Linked DNA regions of Caenorhabditis elegans. The protein of the gene in region 2 purifies or fractionates together with the protein of the main gene of each other region. This does not show direct contact. Each region holds a gene or a part of one and is shown on either strand. Other genes may lie near its edges. The genes, in order: spt-16, let-526, B0205.9 and nhr-8.

Evidence for each region.
Region 1: the proteins of let-526 (region 2) and spt-16 fractionate together in Caenorhabditis elegans (co-fractionation; one large-scale study listed by BioGRID). This does not show direct contact.
Region 3: the proteins of let-526 (region 2) and B0205.9 fractionate together in Caenorhabditis elegans (co-fractionation; one large-scale study listed by BioGRID). This does not show direct contact.
Region 4: the proteins of let-526 (region 2) and nhr-8 fractionate together in Caenorhabditis elegans (co-fractionation; one large-scale study listed by BioGRID). This does not show direct contact.

Annotation. Positions count from the first base shown.
Region 1 is NC_003279.8:10,787,541-10,793,700, reverse strand, and holds spt-16 (FACT complex subunit spt-16), read right to left. Parts: upstream 4,572-6,160; 5' UTR 4,565-4,571; coding exon 4,493-4,564; intron 4,445-4,492; coding exon 4,352-4,444; intron 4,302-4,351; coding exon 3,846-4,301; intron 3,485-3,845; coding exon 2,043-3,484; intron 1,883-2,042; coding exon 1,456-1,882; intron 1,403-1,455; coding exon 800-1,402; 3' UTR 549-799; downstream 1-548. Other genes in the region: F55A3.2 (C2H2-type domain-containing protein), read right to left, coding at 1-109. UniProt on the Caenorhabditis elegans protein: Component of the FACT complex, a general chromatin factor that acts to reorganize nucleosomes. The FACT complex is involved in multiple processes that require DNA as a template such as mRNA elongation, DNA replication and DNA repair.
Region 2 is NC_003279.8:5,310,920-5,315,576, reverse strand, and holds the start of let-526 (ARID domain-containing protein), read left to right. Parts: upstream 1-1,654; 5' UTR 1,655-1,776; intron 1,777-1,826; 5' UTR 1,827-1,853; coding exon 1,854-1,901; intron 1,902-1,966; coding exon 1,967-2,059; exon of another isoform or gene 2,060-2,060; intron 2,061-3,573; exon of another isoform or gene 3,574-3,708; intron 3,709-3,853; exon of another isoform or gene 3,854-3,967; coding exon of another isoform or gene 3,968-4,027; intron 4,028-4,657. Other genes in the region: F48C1.3 (uncharacterized protein), read right to left, coding at 971-1,110, 1,181-1,244.
Region 3 is NC_003279.8:10,719,268-10,724,028, reverse strand, and holds B0205.9 (SPK domain-containing protein), read right to left. Parts: upstream 3,216-4,761; 5' UTR 3,204-3,215; coding exon 3,055-3,203; intron 3,009-3,054; coding exon 2,895-3,008; intron 2,836-2,894; coding exon 2,614-2,835; intron 2,011-2,613; coding exon 1,897-2,010; intron 1,847-1,896; coding exon 1,120-1,846; intron 1,075-1,119; coding exon 862-1,074; intron 814-861; coding exon 754-813; 3' UTR 533-753; downstream 1-532.
Region 4 is NC_003282.8:7,709,203-7,714,744, reverse strand, and holds nhr-8 (Nuclear hormone receptor family member nhr-8), read right to left. Parts: upstream 3,602-5,542; 5' UTR 3,597-3,601; coding exon 3,516-3,596; intron 2,968-3,515; coding exon 2,875-2,967; intron 2,827-2,874; coding exon 2,534-2,826; intron 2,209-2,533; coding exon 2,112-2,208; intron 2,066-2,111; coding exon 1,858-2,065; intron 1,655-1,857; coding exon 1,454-1,654; intron 1,408-1,453; coding exon 937-1,407; intron 890-936; coding exon 820-889; intron 745-819; coding exon 576-744; 3' UTR 547-575; downstream 1-546. Other genes in the region: F33D4.6 (aECM cysteine-cradle domain-containing protein), read left to right, coding at 1-404; mrps-24 (Small ribosomal subunit protein uS3m), read right to left, coding at 4,020-4,214, 4,299-4,399, 4,452-4,557, 4,606-4,698; emc-6 (ER membrane protein complex subunit 6), read left to right, coding at 5,017-5,066, 5,119-5,198, 5,242-5,447. UniProt on the Caenorhabditis elegans protein: Orphan nuclear receptor.

The DNA.
Region 1 (6,160 bases), 5.5 Mb from region 2:
TTTTTCCACGTGTTTTTCGACTCGTTCTCGTAGATGCTGAATCGGAACCCGAAACTGAATCATCCTTCAGTTTTAACCGTTTTGCCACTGGGCCAGGTGGTTTCGGCATCTGTAAATCGGAAATTAGCGAGTTTATTCAATTAAAAAATTATTTTCAGCAAAATTCCCACTCACCGAACCCACAAATCCACCGCAATCAGAGGGCTAAGTGCAAGACACGTGGCATGTCAAGAGCATTCCAATGCTCCACCCTCTGCATACGATCTTCATGTTTCAAGCAACTGCTTATTACACAGACGTCTAAAATTAAAACTTTTCGCCAAATGGGTCTCGCCACGAGGACTACGGTAACTCGTGTCTATGACGCTTTTGCATAATATTCTAAAGCGGCTCGAAGATCAACACGAGCTACAGTAACCTGTCGTCTGCGCGGCGAGACCCATTTGGCAAAACTTTTCCTTTTTAGAAATCTGTATAATTTTGTTGTTGTAATATTAATCAGAAAAAGTAGAAACGGAAACATTTTCAGAAAACCGACAAAATTATGTAAAAACGTGCCTCCATGAAACTTCATTTGACATTAATTGATTTTGAAATCAAAAATATTTTAGCATCGACTCAAATTTTGAGTGGGAAAGAAAAATAAGGGGATTGACAGATTTTAGTTGTAAAATTGTTGTAAAATGGGGGGTGTAACGGGACGGATTGATTGATTGAGATGCGAAGAAAATTCTTGGGGATTTAAATAGTTGAAAAACAAAACAAAAGAATAAAACGGAGGAAATTATACAAACAGGATTTACTTTCTGCGTTTGTGCGATGGTCCAGACTTGCTCGAATGTGGTCTCTTACGATCACGATCACGTGAAGGTTCTTCGACTTCACGTCTCTTATCAGCATTCGCTGCTTCTTCCTCCAAATCTGACCAATCTTTTCCTTCTGATTCATCGGAATCCAACGATCCTTCATCATCATCATCGGATTCAGTCTCTTCACCTTCACTTTCATCTTCATCACTTTCACTTCCTGATCCAGCAGATGCATCTTCTTCTTCAGGATCATAAGCATCCGAATCATCAGAATCATCCATTGCCTCTTCATTATCAGATTCAACATTAAGGAAACTCCATCCACCTTCTTCAAAGAATGCTTCAAGATCATCAGTGATTGTCTTCATAACTTTTGCCCAATTCAGTGATTGAATTCCTTCACTGTACCAAATATCACAAGTATGAAGCCATTCTTTTATCTTATCGATGCTGCTCATCGGGATTTGGGCGACCATCTGAGGTTTGATCTTGTAATCTTTGAAGATGAAGACCATATCGAAATTCTTGAGTTGAAGAGAGACACGTTCAAAGTGGACAAGTTCAACTTCGGAGAGTGTGACGATGAATGTAGGCTGAAAATAAATAAAATATAAAAGAATTCAGGAATAAAATTCAAAAAACATACCCATTCGGTGAGATTAACAAGGCACGATGCAGTTGGTTTGAGTGTGGTAGCCGAACGATACGGAACTCCAAAGAATCCGAGTCCAGCGAACGGAGAATCGAATTCAAATTGATCATTTGTGAGACGAGACACCTTCTCGCAGAAACTATTAAATGCAGCATTGAGACGACGACGCATTTCACGTTCTTGCTGTTCACTCTGCATATCATCACGATCTTGCATATGATGATACTTTCCAAGATCCGTAGTGATTTCTCCGACTTCTGTGTAGAATTGAACATCCTTATACTTCTTCTTTCCCCACAATACTGGATTCTTGAGATGGAAGTGCAGAAGGATGATCATTTCATTGTCGCACGGTTGGAAGAATGCATGTTTGATGTTGTTGTAGAGAACATCAATACGATCACCACGAAGAGATGTGTATCTGGAAAATCATTGAAATAAAAATAGGAAATTTTGAGCTTTTAGATTTTTTTTGTTTAAATAGACTAAAACTGATCCGAAACGGCATAATTTCGAAACGAAAGTTTTCAAATTTGGCAATTTTTGAGTTCAGAAACATTCGTTTTCCTTCAAAACTGTACCTAAATCCATTAGTGTGGGCCTCCAACGATCCAGTGATACGCTTTTGAATAATATTCGGACGAATCAGAAGATCCTTGAGCTTCGGATTCAATTTGTTCTGGCTCAAAATCAATTTGTCCTGCTTCACAGCTCCTTCCTTCTCCCGCTCTTCAGCCTCTTCAGTCTTGAATCTCTTCTGCATTTCCTTGATGAGTCGGAATGCGGTGCTCAAATTATGGCTCGGCGCAGTCGAATCACTGTGATGATCCTTGATGTTACTCGCACGGAACGTGAGCTCCTTCATATAGTGTGCAAGTGGATGTGGGAATTGCCCACTATCCTTTCCAACTTGAGATCCTGGAGTGGCAAAGTTGATTCGAAGATATGTGAAATCTCCTTCAACTGATTGCGAACAATTCTTTATCATGGAGATATGGAATGGGACAGGAATTCCAAATATTGGAACAACCACAGAATCATACTTGCGATCCACGAAAATCAACATCTTCTGAACGTCTGCATCTTGTGGGAATCTCTCTTCGGTTTTATATGACACATTCGATTTCTTCGACTTTTTCTCATCGGTCCCACCGCCTTGCTTTGAAAGACGAGCTTTTGCGAGCTCATTCAACTGAACTCCGAGCTCTTTCTGACGTTCCTTACGTAACTCTTCGTTTGTCGTCTTATTTCTCGTCTGATCAGTTAGAACGACACTTCTCTGACCTCTTCCGAGCATTTTCTTCTGATCATTGTCCTTTTCAGCTTCACGGTTTTCCTGCTCCTCTTTGAATTTGATGACGTTGGACTTCAGGCGTGATTTGGCTTTTTCGGTGAGAATCTCGTTATCGCCTTCTTCTTTAACCAAAATTGTATCCGAGATTGCAATTGCGGCGGGTTTTCCTTTTTCTCCTTTATTTTTGTTTGGAATACTATCGACACCAATATAAACGATGAAGACCATTCCTGCTTTGACAACCTCGTCACACTTCGCACTGATAGCAAGACGACTCTCACGGAATTCGATTCCAGTCGCAAATCCAAGCTCTTTCTTGTTCAGAGTTTCAGCAAGTTTTGGACTTTTCTCCGTCAATGTATCGATTCCAATTTTATAAACATCGCTCAGCTTGGCTCCTGGCTTCAGAGCAGCAATTACTGCCAGCTCGGCGGCAAGAATCGCTTCATAGGCAGTCTCAAGTTCAGAAGATGGGAAGATGAGCATAGTTCGCGTCAAATTTGTGCAATATTCTGATAAACGAGCTCCGAACGAAGTGATGATCGTTCCAAACTGGCTGTGAAGATGAGATTCCGAGCTTTCATGATTCCATTTGAACGAGTAATTTCCACCGGACATTACGATTGGATCATAGCATGTGTCGGCTTCATACTTGGCCAGTGCCTGTTGTACTTTTGAATCCTTCATGAAGGCGGCAAACTCATTGGAGAGAACAGAGTGACGGACTCGCTGCAAAAATAAAAAAGAATTATTTTCTCGGGATTAAAACAGTGGTTTTCCCAGGAGTACTAAAAAATGAGCCAGTTATTGGTGATAGATAAAAGGAAAAACAGTTTAGTCATCTAAAAATAGCTTTACATTTAATTGAAACAACTGGAAGAACGCTCAAAAACTGCATGAAAGTTTAATTTTCGGGTGATTTCCAACTTTCAGATTGATTTTGAGCAGTTCTTCCGCTTTTTCAATTGAATTAAAAGCTATTTTCAGATACATCAACTGCTTCATTATATTCTATCACCAAAAACTGGCTAATTATGTAGAAATGCTTGCAGCGGACTCCTGGTTCAACTATTTTCAGAACGATAAGCACCTTTTCTTGATCAATGATCTCTACGTAGCGAGCTCTTGCAGCTGTCCATGATGCGGTTGTAGCTTGTGCTGATTTTCGAATCAAATCCATCTCCTTATCGTCTTTCACTGCGAACAGATGAGTAAACGCGAGAGTGACGTCATTCTTATTGACACCGCCTTCCTCGAGCGCCTTATTCCACGAACTGACGAATTCCGAGCTGAATTTCTCTTTGACGAAATTTCCAACATCTCCGCCGGCACTTTTGATGTGATCGATGAGCTTTTCAAAGTTTCCAGCGTCTTTGTCGGTTTTATCGCGGAGCAGTGTGCTGACTGTTGGCACTTTTCCTGAGCTCTGATTGTCTCCAGTGACTGATCCGAAGAATTCGACTTTGCGATTACTTCCGAGAATGTAAATGTGATCTTTGAGAAGCAACAGGACTGTGTCAGCGATTTCGTGGCCAAACAGCCAGGTCTGAAATAAAAATTTGTCTTGAGTTTGAACAAATTCTGAAAAATCCTTACAAATAGTGCGCTGGTCTTTGTATATGGATTATCAGTCTCTCCGTATACAAAAGCAAGTGATTTGATCGAATCTAGACCATCGGCTCCCTTCTCCTGTAAAATATTTGATTAAAAATTCGTAAAGTCCTGAAAGTCACAAACCCAGTGCTCATAAAGCCTCTCCGCTCTCTGGAAAAAGAGATCCTTGTTGAGAACTGCCCGTTTTCCAGACATTTCTCCCCTGAAAGTTAGAAATTGTGTTAAAGTCACGAGGATTGAGAGATGGAAGCAAAAATCGATAACGTAAACAAAGTGACCAGCAACGGATTCGGATAGGCTAAAAGTTTGAAATTTGCGAAAAAATTAATTTTTTTTGACACAATTTTAAAATTTTGAAAAAAACGTTTTGACGAGACAAATATTTTTTCACTGAAGAACTGTAAACTCTGAAAAATTAGAGCTGAAAGTGAGGATTGCGCGCGAAAAAGAATGGAATGAAGTTGGGCGTGGTCAAGGAACGCAACAGCCGCACGCACTTTCGCAACCACTCCGCATGCAATATTCCCGCCATGTTATTTACGGAGGGGCCATGTGAGAGTACACAATTGTGATGAATTCTTGAAGAAACATCAATTCCAGCGAGAGTTCAGAAAGTGGAGTTTCTGTAGGGTAGAAGATGTGGAATAAGTGATGAGATTATGTTGAGCGGGATGTAGGATGTCAGAAGAATCGTTGAAAAGAACAGAGTTGTAGATACAACAAGTCTTCGGAAATGCCGCGTGAACGGTAGATCAATTATTTCTTGAATTGGATTAAAGTCGGGATCGTTGAGATTTCTCATAAACCATAGTACACCAGGACGAAGGATTTCTCGAAGAAGAATCACAAATGACGCTGAATAAAATACATAAATCATTCCAACCATCCAATGAAGGAATATTGACATGAATGGAGCTGTGGCAAATGTTGCAATTCTTTGTGATAATGTTATATTGAATAATGGAAGTGTACAAACATCCATCCAACATCCACACATTACAGGGAAAAATCCAATTTCCAAGAATACCAGCAAGAAGACTATAATGATAAGGAGAGATGGCATTTGGGAACTAGTTTCAGATTCGGAATGCTAAAATATATTGAAGTTAAAGTCGACTTTTAGCAATTATTACGCCGGCAATTGCGAAAAATCCTGAAAGAAAAGTTTAATATTTTTCCTTTTCAGATAATCAAAGTTACAAATCCGGTTGTAATCCTACGATAGTGCCTACAATATTTCAGGCCTTGAAACGCAGACAACAGTAAAATTATAAGAACTTTAGAAAATTTTGAGGAGTTTAGCTCTACATCTGTCAATTTGGTATAAATTATCTGTTTTCTGAAAAATAAAGTATTTAACTATTTTAACAGCGGTCCACAAGAGAAACGGACGAAATATTTGAAGAAATTTTAAAAATTTAAAAAAAAACCGCGATAGGGTTGGTTAAAGGGACATCGGCTTACTCGGATGGGTCTCGACACGATTGTGGTTTTGCGTTGTTGTCGACGAACATTTTTGAATTCTAATTTTTTCCCTATTTTTTTGCCATAAAAGCTGTAGAATTGCTATATTTTTAAAATGTTTTCCATCGAAAAATTGTGAGATTGAGTTTGAAAATTACCGAGTTCCATTTTATTTTCATTGGATCTGTTTTTGATAGTTTTTACTTTTTTACAAATATTTTACAGGAGAAGGGAGCCGATGGTCTAGATTCGATCAAATCACTTGCTTTTGTATACGGAGAGACTGATAATCCATATACAAAGACCAGCGAACTATTTGTAAGGATT
Region 2 (4,657 bases):
TAACAAAAAACAAAATGCTTTATTCAATATTTAAATAGTCGAGGAAATTCGAAGAAATAATATATTTTCTCACTCAAATTCTGTAAAAACGAGCGAAATTCGAAATTTTTGCGATACTATTCAGTTGATTCGCTCATCTAACAATTATATACCATACACTTTTCACATTTCAAATAACTTGTTTCCTATTTTTCGAAAAATCATTAAAATTATAGTTTCCCGCTGAAATATTCGAATAAAACAAATTTGTTGAATGTAAAAAAATTGAATAGAGGAATTTTAAGTTCAGTCAAAAATTATATTTTGTATAGAAACCAAAAATTTATATAAAAATCTAACGTTAAAAAAATTTTTGAAATAAATGTTCGAATACTAAATTCGCTGTACCTTAAAATTAAGTTTAAAATTCATTTCGAAAAAATAAAAAATTTTAAGTTAGAAAAAAAGCTGTATAACATTTTATATTTCAATCGAACATTTTCTTTACTTTTTTAAAAATAGAATGTTCAAAAACTATTCAAATCCGGTATACCTAAAAATGAATAAATAATTATTAATATGGAAGTCATACGGTAGTTTCCTAGCAACTCTATTAAGCTCTTTCAATTTCTAAAATCAAATCAAAAAGTGCCACCCAAAAAATCATAGACGAAACGCAGAGTGATAAACAAAAAGTTTTTCTTTCTTTCTTCATCATTTCTTTTTTTTTCCTTTCCGTTCATTTTCCCACACCATAAGCATTGTGTGTCTGTTTCAAGTTCATATTCATTTTTCTTTCTTCCGCCTCTGCGTCTCTTCACTGTCTTGTGATCACTCATCACCAGGGTCGTTCTCGTTTTTTTGTTGTTGTTCAGCCTCCCCTTTTGTATTTTTGTTGCGCCGTATTATGACTATGTTTGATAATAAGAGGTTCATGGTTATGATCATCAATTGGGTGATAGAGAATAGTAGGTGATAAGAGTTCTCTATTTCAGGAAGTACAGTGCTCCATCAATTTTGATCCCAGAACCGCCAATTTTGAATTTTCACTTAAATTCTCAGAATTATTGATTTTATTTTCAAAAAAAAGACGGCCTTTAGAAGTTAAATATAATCCAAATATAGAAATATCTGAAATTTTAACATTTTATTTTCAAATATGAGGCGTAAAAAATACAAAATTATTTTTTCTCCATTTTACCAATACAAACTGCTTTGAAAGTGTTTAAAATTATAGTAATTTTCCTATAAATTTTGAGATGCATTTTTTAAGGCGCACGCACGGATTTATTAAGATGGGTCTCGGCGCGCGAAAAAGTTTATGGTAGCCATTTCAAACTTTTGTGGTTGTTTTCGTTGCATTTTTCTTTCGAATTAATTCGCTAAAAGGTAATTATTCCCTATGAAAAATACACTTTAAAAATGTCACCATAAACTTTTCAGTGAAGCAGCCAAAAAATTCAAAAAAAACTACCATAAACTTGTTCGCGCTTCGAGACCTATCTGAATTAATCAGTGCGTCTTCTAGTGAAAATACGATAGAAAAAAACTGTTTTTATCCTCGAAAGTTTTTTATTTAAATTATCATTTATCCAAACGAAACAAATATTTTCTGCAATATTTTCTTGTGTAACTTGACTTTAAATATCTAAAACCATTTTTTTTTCTTTCAGACAAAACAATCCCCTGCCGTGCTGTGTCTCTGGAACTTGTTCAGCGCACGGAAAACGAGGGCGAAGGAATTTTTCGTGGAAATTTACGGTATAAATTCAGTTAATGGTTGTGTCGACGGAAATTGTAAGTTTTTTGGAAGCTAGATTTATTTTCATTATTTTTTTTTTTTTCAGGAAGGAGAACACTGAAACAGAGAGAACATGCCAGGTGACGACAATGCAGTTGGAACGGAGACAAATGAAGATAAGGTAACTTTTTTTTTAATCTGAAATTATTTGTTGGAGAATATTTTCATTTTTTGTTTAATTTTCAGCCAACTACATCAAATGCAGTCACCGCAGAAAATCCGTCGAGAGGTGATGAGTCGCAGCAACAGCAACAACAACCGCAGCAGCAACAGAAAAGGGTAAAACCAGGACATCATCACTTCCTTCGTGTTCTTTTCTGCAACAAAATCCGAAAATCACTCATTCCTCTATGTCTCTTCATCTTCGCCTACTATTTCCTCGCTTGTCTAACCACTCGAATGAAATTGGGAGGCGGGGATGATGATGATCGAGGGAAGCAAAAAGGGGGGTAGAAAGAGAAGGTCGCTGTTGGGGCTGTTGGTGAGGGGCTGCGTTTGAATACTTTTTCTCTCCGTCTCGATTCGCTTGTGACTAGGCCATCTGTCTCCCCCTTTCGTTTAGTTGTCAAAGAAGCGCTGTGTCTCTCCGATTTGCACGCTCTATGGTTAGTTGTCTAAGCAGGCTATGGCCTTCGCGAAGCGGGTGTCTCCACTTTTCTAGTACTATCTCGCCGTCTGATCTGTATGGAATCTCTGCGATACGCACACTCTATGCGATTCGGTTTGCGGAGAGAATGGACGGCGGGACGCGGGGTCGCAGTCGTCGCTCTTTCTCTTCTCTACATTCTATACACACACACAGCGCAATTTCACTGCGGACTCTCAACTTGTAGAACTATTTCCACCGTGTCTCCTATCGTTCGGTTTTCAAAAAGACGAAGGCGACGCAAGCCGCATGACGGACGGACACACACACACTGGAGGGAGGGTAGGGGGTAAAAATGAACGAACGGGGCGCGAAAAAAGACGGAAGGGACGAAAATAACATGTAAAAGAATAGAGAGTTTAGAGACAGAAGCCATCATCACATAGTGTAGTTCATTTTTAATTACAATGGTTTGAACATATTATATCATGTTCAATAAGCAATAATAATGATAATTGTTGAATAGCAACTTTTCGAACATTTTTCCATAGATTCTAAATACCAATTTATAACATTAATATAATGTTTTTGAATATTATCTAGAAGATGCCACCAATGTATAGGTTACATAATCATCCAAAAATTCTAAGAATTTCGTTTGAAGTTTTCTTTGTTAGTGATGAATAGGGAAAAATGATTTCAAAAAAGTTTGAAAAATCTGATAATAGATAATATTTAGTACGAAAAATTTCACTAGGATTATTGCCACCAGACATAGTTTCCAGATCTACAAATGGATTCAGATTCAGATAGTGAGATTGGAAAATCAGCCATCCAATTTGACAGCTCAACTTACAAACCTACGAATAAAATGTGGAGAAGTGAAAAGAAACACAGGCATTGCACGAAAAATCGGGAAAGACTGAAAAAGGAGACCTCTCCTTTGCCTTCTCCTTTTTTCGTTTTTTTTTCCTTTTTTATGTGCTTGCTTCCCATCGTCAAGCACATACGCACACATACAAAGAGACACTACACGTCTTGATTGTGTTTTGAGAAGCACGGGACGCCGTCGCTGATGACGTTGTACTCATATCCGTATTAGTCGTTGCACTATTTTCAGTGCATAGAACGTAGAAGTAGGTTGCACATCTGTCAATAAGCATATTTCACTTTGCCAACTAATTCTCTTCACTCTCACTCTCAGAAGCGGAAAATAGTGAAAGACCGACGATCACATCGGAAACGAAACATTCGTGACGTCATTTTGGTTTCTGTCTCGGAGAGGAGTCCCTTTCGATTCGGTGTCCAGTCTCGTTCCCCCTCTCTCCGACGATTGGAGGAGAAAAATGAAAAGGGGAGGCCTGGGAAAGTGACGAGTGACCGAAGATTACAAGATACACATGATGATGAAAAGTTGAAGAAGGAGGCATATGAAATAAACAAGCCCATCACTCTCACTCGTTCCGATGGAATGAAATAAGAGACGGAAATGCCGATTGGAGAAATAGACGGCACGTGGAAACTGAATAGTGATTAATATGCTACGTCTCACACTCTCTCGGACTCGTCTCACATTTATTTGTTTGTTTTTGTAATGACCGATGATGATGACGAGTCTCTCCGGTCGGCTGTACTTGGATGGCAGGAGAGATTGTTTATTGGTTAGAGTTAGAGGCATGCAGAAAATAGCTTTAAAATTTGGAAATTGGCGACTTTAGAATGAATAAAGTGACATTAGAGAAGATGAGTCATTATTTATAGACTATCACTAGATATATATAATTCCCTAGGGATTTGAAAAGTTGAGTATAGTATGATATAAATGTGTACCCTATCATTACTCACTGATATATAAACTCCACGAGATTCTACTTTCTGATCCCTAATACATTTGAATATCACACGGGTTTGGTGAAATCTACGTTATTCTTATTCCGTCTCCATCCTGAGCCCCTTTTCTCCATAATACTATAATCACCTCTATGCGCTCGTGCACTTTGACGAATCCGTCTAAATGCATATTTCTGATGAAAATCTTTGAGGGAAAATAGCCCACCACGCGGAGAATATATAGACTAATCCGGTCCTGTGCATGCATGTTCATAATCTGCGATCTCATGACTGCTACACATACTCTATTATTCGAGTCGACCGATTTTTTTAGGTTAGTGGAGAAGCATTCTAGCATAATATTCTAATTGGAATGTGATAAGGGAGCTTGCTAATGAGATATGGGATGTTGACAGGAGAAACGAAATGTGTTTGCTGAACTGAATAGCGGATAAAATGTG
Region 3 (4,761 bases), 5.4 Mb from region 2:
TCCAAATCGAAAATGAATAAAACACAAGTTTTGGATGACGACGGTAAACGTCTAGTCAATGTATCTTCCAAAAAAAGTCAAATTCAAGGTTTACTAGAATTTTAGATCATACATTTTTGAAACCTAAAATTATGAGAAAACTATTTAATTTCTTACATAATACAATTCAGATCATCGTGTCAAAGAGTCCCATTTTGGATTGATCTACAAAAAATGTGGGATTTTCTTTGCCAAAAATTGTGACGTCAGCACGCTCAGCCTGGTTAAAGAACTTAAACAGTTAATATTTAAAAAATTCTATAACATTGAAAAACCACTGGTTTTGGAGAATTGTTAAATTTTGCTAATTTCTTCATTTGAATTTCCGCACTTTTGCCTTTTAACCCCGCCCACATTTCTGTGCCGCACTTAATGTTGATGCAGATTGTTATTTCCGCTCTTTTATTGATTTTATAATAAAGGAAAAAAGATTTTAAATTAATGAAACAATGTGATGTATTTCACTTGTGACAATTGATCTATCCATTCTATAAAAAAAATTAACTTCCGATTTATTATCAAAGATTTTTCAGTGATAGAAACTTAAATAAATCGTAAAACCGTTCAATTTGTGAGAAAAATACCAGTCATATAACAGTAGAATTAACAGTGGAGGGCTCTTAAAAAATTGGAAAAAAAACGAAACCGTAAAAGGTGAATAGAGTCATGGTGAAATCACGAGAAAAAAGGATAATTATGAAAAGTACAGGTGAATTAAACAACAGTGAAAAGAATATTGCGAATACCTTGCTGGACGTCAGCGATTAGGAGAACCTGAATATTTAAATATAATTTTGATTGGTTAATAACTCAATCTAATACCTTTCCATCCGCTTCGTGATTTTCAATTTCGTCCTGAACTCTCTTTTGTAGATCGTAAAGCAACGGGTTTTTAAGCCAAAGGAGAGCATATTTGAAGATTCTCAGACACTCTTTTGCTGATTTGCTCGGTGCTGAGGTTTCCGGCCGAAACTTTCGAGTGATTCCCAAAAAGAATGTCTGGAGGGTAGTAATCACTAGCTCCGATGGAAGAATCTGAAAAAAAAGATAATTTATTGGAAAATTTGATTCTTCAACTACCTCATCTGTTCGACGGCGAATCTCTTCAATCTCTTGCATTAAATCGTTTAGAGTATCTGATTCGAGAGATGTGAGCATGAGTTCTAACGAATTCAAAAACTTGTGAAGTCTAATCCCGTCAGATCCAGTGATTCCCGATGGCTCAACATGGTGACCTTCTTGAACTGGGGTTTCCTCAATCTCTGGTGGAATGGGTAGATTCACCAGGTTGTTTGACATGTTTTGAATATGGAATTGCTCAAATACAGGCTCCTGCTTCAAGAAGCCACGGAAGACGAAAGATTCTTGTGCATTTGTAGAAGTACCTTCCGATTCGTTTAAAAAAGTTCCAGATCTTTGAACCTCTGCCTGCCGACCACTCTTTGCATTGAAAGGATTGAATTTGGAATCTCGATTTTCAAGGAGTGGAGCCTCTAGAATCTCACGGTAGAGGTGCCCTTGATCCAGATTGTATGACGCTTCTCGATTGACCAATTCCTCGAAATCAAACGATGCAGATTCCTGTTCCACGTAGCCATCAACTATTTCCATAACTTCTACATCATCCGTGTCAGACAACTCATTCTCAGTGATTTCGCGTCTTTTTGTAGGTGTATTGCTGGATTTGGTCGACCTTCTTCTCTTCACTCCCGACGTCTTCTCTTCCAACTCTATCATTCCATCATTTGATGCATATCTGACAATTCGGCGCTGGTCATCCAGTTGAACGGTGCCAGATTTTTCAATTCTGAAAATTCATTTAAGTTTTTTTTAATTTCAAGTTCAACTGTTTCTTACTCGGCAAGAAAATCAGTTCTCACTGTCCCTTTTAATACAAACATCATCCGAATCCGATCTCCGAGTAGGTAGCTGCTCCATCGACTCATATTTGGTGCCAGATTTCGACGAAATCTAGAATATAGTTGAATTATCAATAGCGAAATTGCTCTACAAGTGGCTTCAACTTGTGGAAAATTGAAGAAAAAAAACTATTCAAAATTCGAAAAATGTGGGAAAACAATTTTCATTCAAGAGATATTAAAGGTGGAGCAGCCCCAGTGGGGAAATTGTTAGAAACCACTCCTTTGATCCCAAATGGACCAAATATCATGATAAAACTTTTCAAAAAAATTTTGAAAAATTTTTATTCATTGTCAAAAAGTGGCAATTACTCACTTTTTGCCACTCATAATTTTGGAAATCGACAAAAATAAAAATTATTTTTTATATATTCAAATGTAAATATATTCATTTCTTATGTTTTAATTTTGTTTAAATTATTTTTATTAAAACATTGTAGCGGTCAAAACATGCGACATTTCTCTAAATTTCCTCAAAAGCTCGTTTTTTTCAAAATTTTGGCAATTTGCCAAAAAGAAATTATGAAAAATCAACAATTTTTTGAAGTGTTTTATTATGATATTCGGTCGTTTTGGGTCATTATAAGTATATTTAGACAAAATCCCCACTGGCGCTTCTCCTCTTCTCTTCCCTTCTCTACTCTTTAAAACTCACTTTTTATTAAACGTATCAACTGAAACCTGGCGATCCTTGATACGGCAGAACTCCTTGGCAATTGAGGTCGATGTCATCGGTCTAACTGCATCTCTGGTCTGTTGGATAAGAAAGTCCATGAATTCGGACCGTGCACCTTCTATTTTGAATTTTCCGTCCTTCGAGGCATATTTTAGGATTCTTCTCTTCTCATCGAGTTGGACAGTTCCCAGCTTTTCAATTCTGCAAATTGTCTTTCTCTTTATCCTTTTTACATTTCCGACAGCACTCTTAAAACCTACGTCGTTAGGAAATCTTTGGAAACTTTTCCACCCATTGTGAGCATTACTCGAACTCTTTCCCTGATACTGTAGGTGTTCAATTCATTCATTATTGGTGCAAGCCTATGATGAAATCTAAATTTAAATTTTTAAAATACAAACAGTGAGATGTAGCTCTAACTTGTCATAGCACATTGAATATGTACTCCGATCAGGGTCTAGTCGGCTATATTCATCGAATATTTCTTTAAACGTCGTTGGCTCAGCAGCATTCTTTGTCTTTTTCACGAGGAAATCCATGTATTTCGTGAGATTGGCGTCGTATGACATGTTTGGTTAACCTGAAATGGAGCACAATAGGGTATTAGATATTTTAAATACTTTTGAAAAAAACGAATAAATCGTTAAATTACGGGATTTATTCACTTTTATAAAAAAAAGCATTAAGAAGACAAATATAATCGATGAAATCACGCGGTGTCAGGTTGTCCCATCTCTCCGCTGCGCACGAAATGGCGAAAAAATACTTTTTAATAATTTGTGACGTCACAGGGCAATTCGAATAATTGTTTTTTTGATTTTTCAGTGTCGATTTTCGTGAAATTTGTTAATAATTTTTCAAATAGCTTTCTCATGGTAATTTATAAAATTGATATTTTATCGAGATTCTAAAAATTTATTGAGTTAAGTGGAGAAAGAAGCAAATTGCATTCAAAAACATCACAAATTAAAAAGAAAAGTATTTTCCCGACATTTTTGTGCGCAGTGGATCGATGGGACAGCCTCACTCACGGCCTCCACCACGAGAAATGCGCAGAGAGAGCGCAGAGAAAAAGGCGGTCTCTGCGTCTCTCACCTCCACAGCATGGCGAGAGTGCGCGCTCAACCACCTCACTTAGAAGGAGTCGGGAAGAAAGGAAAATGCATATTTCTGAAAAGAAACAATTGGAACGGATAAAGAGTACTGTCCTCTACAGTCTGGCATAAATTTCACAGAATAGTTGTGTCATTGAAATAAGTGAAGAGAGTGAACATAATATTACACATTCCCCTCTAAAACGAGCAAGTTTAAGATTTTTTCCCAAATTTTTTTTGTAAAATGTATTCAATATATTCCCAATTAATGAGTTAATACAAAAAAACCCCAATAAATAAGTTATGAGAGAAACTTTTTTTGACATCAAACATTTACAGCTCAAAATTTCAGCACTTTCCGGAAGCTAGTGACCGTAAAATGAAAAATTTCAAAAATCGGAAAAAATACGATTGTTCTATTTTTTAATACGCACATTTTGACATATCACACATAAAAATTGGTCAATGTTGAAAGATGAAATTAAATCTAGAAGGTTGACTACAGTACTAAAATGACCAAATTTTCAGGTTTTTCGCAATTTTCAGGAAATACTTGGCTTGGACTCAAAAATCGGAAAAAATACGATTGTTCTAATTTTTAATACGCACATTTTGACATATCACGCATAAAAATTGGTCAATGTTGTAAGATGAAATTAAATCTAGAAGGTTGACTACAGTACTAAAATGACCAAATTTTTAGGTTTTTCGCAATTTTCAGAAAATATTTGGCTTGGACTGAAAAAGTTAAGAAAATACGATTGTTCCAATTTTTAATACGCACATTTTGACCTATTATACATAAAAATCCGTCCATGTTGAAAAGATGATTTTTGATGTAGAAGATTGGGTGCTTTGATACAGTACCCGCTCTACTGCGCCCTCACACTTTGGATGCTCCTATCTCCGCTTCTATGAAAGTTACAAAAAAGTTGTCAACCAACAAAATGTTCAGTGTGACATTGTGAACATTTTTTCTGTTGACAATATTTTTCTAACTAGTAAGACAAATTTTTTACAGGCCCCGAAAGCC
Region 4 (5,542 bases), on a different chromosome or scaffold from region 2:
AAATGAAGACTACAACCACAACAACTACTACTGAAGCTCCAACAACTACACCAGAAGAAGAAGAGGAAGAAGTTGTGACAGCTGCCGTGGAACAGGAAGAGGAAGATGATGTTATTGAAGCAGAAGAGTTAGTTGAAGATGAAGAAGAAGATGTAACAACCACCACCACCACTGAAGCTCCAGTTACACGTGCTCAACGTGTCAAGAAAAACAAAAAGAGAGCTGTTGTGACAAAGCATCAATGCTTGAACCTTCGTAGCTTCGCACGTCAATTCTTGTTTGATACCGTTGAAGAGTTCGCAAAAGAGCACTGTTACTTTATTGAGAACTATTATCCAGCACTAACATGTGCTCGTTCTCATGCTTATGTTGCCAAGTGCCAAAAGTGGTTGAAAGAGGAGTAATTAATTAATACCTTTATATTAATTTTTATTTTGATTTCGATCCAGATCTACGTGTATTTGTTTGTAATATTTTCTCCATCTTTCTGCCCTTGACTTTTGTGCAATTTTCTCAAAAACTTTCTCATGTTAATAAGTGTGCAATATGTGCAATAATTCATGGTTAATAAATGGTTATTCAAAAGAACATAATTCTCGTATCAGAGGATCCAATTGAGCAATATCTAGTCCATAAAACACACGAAGTAAGGTCCTATTCACACGATGAAGCTCGACGACTTGATTCAGAAGATTACTGTATGCAATGTCAGCACGTGATTTACCATATTCAAATGTAAGAAGTCTGAAAGTAGGACAATATTAAAAATGTTATAATCAAAAAGTTATACAATACGTGCTTTTCTCGTACAGTACTTACTTCAAGAGCATCTGGAAATATTTTGCTTGTGTTGAGTGCACTCGTTTACTATCACGTAAGTTGGAGACATCTGAATTAATAACTTTAAAACGAATCAATTTTGAAAAACTGGCTCACGAGGATGAAATATAACAGCTGCATTGAAAATGAGCATCAAATGTTCATTATTCCTCACATCTTCTCCAAACGTTGAAAGCAAGTTCATGTGTGCTTTGTAATGTTCTTCAAGTTTTGGATTCTTAAGAACTTCCACCTTTACCTCCATTTTTCCTCGTACTCCAAATGAATGATTCCAGCTGTTATCACTCTTGTCATAGGCCATAAGACCCCGCACAATCAACAACTCCCCAAATCCACTTTTCAAGAGATTTTTCCTATCGTCCACGTGAAGCTCTCGGAATAGACTTAATTGGCATGCCATGTTAACAATCCTTCGTAGAGCTTCTTCTATTATTCTAAAAACTCCATCAATGCTTTTCGGATTGTGCCATTGAATTAGTGGAGCATTTAATGGCTCATTTTGTACATGAAGTTCTTCTAAAAGAGTTATCTCGTCTTCATTCAAAACTCCAATGTATTTGTCAATCTCTGAAAAGTTGCAAAATTCAAACTTATGGATGACATGAAACAGTACTTGAATGAATTTGTTCTAGCAAATTTGGAGGTAGAGTTTCAGTTACTGGAACTGTGGACACTGCTTGAATTGGAGTCCATGTTCTTTCAGGCATTGGAGGAAAATTCAAAAAGTTGGCTGGCGCAGCCATTTGGGCCATAACACCAAATTGAAATGGTGATAACATTGGAGGATATTGCGATGGCATTTGTGGAGACAGTTCTAAATTTTAGACGTATATTCTTTACTTCAGTACGTATTAATAAAAGTGTTTTCTTGTCGGCTCGGAAGGCGGACGTAACTCTTCTGCCTACTTTGAATTCGTAGTGATAGCCTTCTAGATGAGTTATGTCTGGCTTGTTGTCAAACATTTTTGACAGTGAGGTTCTAGCGTTCAGCTTCACGAGCTGCTCCTAAAAACATACCAGTTATTGAGCTCGGTATAGACGCCGGAGAAACTGTGTAGTTGGTTGGAGATTGAGTAACAAGTTGAGAAGTATTGTAACCACTGGAATCATGTGAAGATGGAGCACAACTGATAACCGACATTGGAGAAAGAGTTGAAGTAGATGAAGAATAAAACGAATCCGAATGATGAAGATGATGGGAGAATGATATATCTTGTGGACTGTTCTGAATATAAAATAATTGATTTTCTTGTATTTTAAACTCTACTAACCACAGCTGTTGTATCCTTTGGTTCGTATGCGGTGAGTCTTTGAGTAATTGGATAGAATCCACACTGGCATTTGCATGTACATCTGTCTTTTGATTTTCTGAAAGTTCAATGTACGATTGTCTGTTACTAGAGTGACGTAGTTTTGTGGTCTTGTGTGATCTACTGATTAGATAATTGTACTTTCTCATACGGTACATATCACAGGTTATCGAGAGACCACTTTAATTAAATAGATTCAATTGAATAAATGTGAGAACGTGCTAAGGCTGCCATGGTAGGCACTTCTTCATGCCTACATACGTGCGCGGCTACTGTTTTTGCATTCTGGGGTAAAGGCGTTTTTTTGTTATTTTCCCGTTATATTATAGTAAATTTGTTGAAACAGTAGTTTATTATTTCCGGATAATTTCATTGAAACTTACTCATTAGCTTTATTGATAAGCTTTTCAAGTAATGCTTTGGGGACACTAATTTGTTCTTCATCATCATTTTCCAAATCTTCTTCAGTATCATCTACTTCCACTTTCAAGTTATTCTTCATATCAGGCTTCTTTCTTTTGAATTTTCCAGAAACAATTGAACTCTTCGGTTTCAAATCATTTAACCATTCACTGTTCATTCCAACAGCAAAACATTTATTCAATCGACAAGCTTGGCAAAACTTGCGAGATGCTGATGTGATTTGACAAGAATCAGAGAAAGGACATTTAATTTCCTTAACACAAAATTTTTAACAACTTGAGTATGCTTTTTTTTTTAAAACCTTATGCTTTGAAGCATTTCGCCTGAAAAACGCCTTACAAGATTCGCAAGTGAGTACACCAAAATTGTATCCATTTGCACGGTCGGAGCAAACCTAAAATTAATTACAATTGTTGGTTTAGAAGTATAAATGAAAAAACGTTTTTCTATTATATTTTTACAAAAATACCACCAGATTTGTAGTAATCCACTATGGAACTCATCTTACGTTTTGGAAAAGACGATATGTATCCAAACGGAATTTTCTTTTTGATTTTTAGGTCAAAAATACGGTACCAGGTCTCGGCACGACAATCTTTGTTCAGTACAAAAAGCTGTGTGCATTTGAAGATTACTGTAATTTCAAGCTGTGGAATTTTCATTGATAATTCATAGCTATTAATACTTTTTTAAAAACATTTATGTGTTTTATTTTAGTTTTTCACGTTAAATATGCATGTTCTTCTAAAGTTTGAAATTACAGTACTCCTTAAAGACTTGTCTTGGCGAGACCGGATACCGTATTTTTTAAGCAAAAATCGAAAAATCTCACGCCGTTTCCAAAATAAAATTACAACTTTCTGATGGTTTTTTCAACTTTTAAACCAGCGTCAAGAGGCTCTTCAATAAAGTGATTATATTCTAAATAATATCAAAACTAACTGTGCAAATTCTGCCAGCAGGCTCTTTTGGTGGAACAGCAGACCTTCGAGACTCGTCCATCGATGGAGAAGACGAAGGCATGGAATGACGAAATTTTTGTTTTAGTGATTAAAATGTTGTTAGGTTTTGCAGATAAGTCACACCACAAGTGGAATAAGATACGAATAATAATCAGTGATTATATGAGCGACGCATAGTTAACTGTGATTCACGTATAGTTAAAAAGGACGATTGAAAGGGCGCAATAGTTTGTATGAAAGACTATGGGGTTTGCTTATCAGTGTGCGAAGTGAGCACAAATATTTATTGATTTTTGTCAAACCAATGCGCTGATTGATAATTTTATGAAGTCTTATCGTTGACTCTCGTATATTTTTCAGGGACCAAAATCCAGAATCCAAATGCCAAAATTCAGATTTATTTTGTTTTTTGGAACACAACAGAAACAATTAAAGAAGTAAAATAAAACTACGGTATTTCGGTTCTATAACAAAGATGAAAGTTTTAGATATAGTTGTATGCTACATCTTCTTCGGATTCCACAAATGCCATTTCTAGCTTCACTGGTTGTTTCAGAAGAATGGAAAGAAATTCTTCTGCAAACCCGAACATCCAGTAGATTCTTCGAATATCGAGTCGACGCGAATATTGAAGGAATCCGGCAACGATCAGTACGTTTCCTCGTCGTTTGATTACAATCTGGAAAAATGTGAAGTTTTGCAAACTTGGATAAGAGAAATAGATACTATACTGAATTTTAAAATTTTTTTGATAAGTTATTACCTCATTTCCACTAACGACTAAATTTTGTGGGAAAAATCCTCGAATGAACCGACGAACAACTTCATCTTGTGCAACAACCAGTGGTTGAGATTGACGGAATTCTAAAAACAAATTTTAAAAATTGTTAAATCGTAATTCAGTTTTGGAACAAACCTTCGAGATTCTGTGAATGCCATGTGAGCCACGATTTTCGCACGCCAATATGATGTGGTTTTTGAGCCATTTCGTATGTAAGAAGTTGTGTTCTATTTGATGTAGACGGAAATTGCAAAATATAAATGGGAAAATAATTGAAAGATCAACAAACCTTGGTTTTACCCGCTCTGTTCTTGAGAAGCATCGATGTTGTCGAAATTTGACGACTGCTGAGGGCTTCGACATGTTGTATACTTCGAAGCATGTCTGAAATTTATAAAAATAATATTTTAAGCAGAAAAATATATTTATAAAAGCGATTCAGTATAAAAGCGAGGCAAATGCAATATTTTTAAAGAAAAAAAATTAGCTAAAAAAAGAATATTGCAAGTGCGCTCCCCAGGACTGATACACTGTCACGTCAGAATGCACAGATTTCTCAGAGACAAATTTATTAATTTATTCTATTTAATTCTTAAATTCCCTTTGCAATCCAGTTTTATTCAATTTTAAATAATTTTATGTTGTTCTAGAACATGTTCTTTTTTGATTATTAGTGTTATTTGTAATTTCAGATTTTCAAATGTCCGATAAATCGTCAAAAGCAGAAAAGAAGAACGATGAGTGTTACAAGTGAGTCGAAGTAAAAATCATGAATTCAATAATCATGTATATATTTCTTCAGCACGGCAGCGATAACCAACAACGTCGAAGCTCTCGAGTTTGGAAGAACGTGTCAGTCGTGCGCCGCCGGTATGGCAGCAGGTAATTTTCAAAAAAAATCATTTAAAAAATCCTTCTTTTACAGGAATTCTCGGACTTACCGGTTTTCAAGGCTTCATTCTCTATTTCATTTCTGTTGGAATCCAGGCCGTTATATGGAACGTGAAATCACAAGGAAACTGGTTGAGCTACTTTCCGGAAAGAAACTCATTCACTTGGTCGCACGGAAATGGTCTTCTCACTTTCGTTCTGCTCTGGGTATTCTTCTACGGAATGGTTCATGTATACTGAGATCCATTTTATTCGCGAAAGTCTACATTCCCTTTTATTTATTTCTAAAATAGATGTATCTATTCTTTTCAACATTTTATACAATTTAATAAATC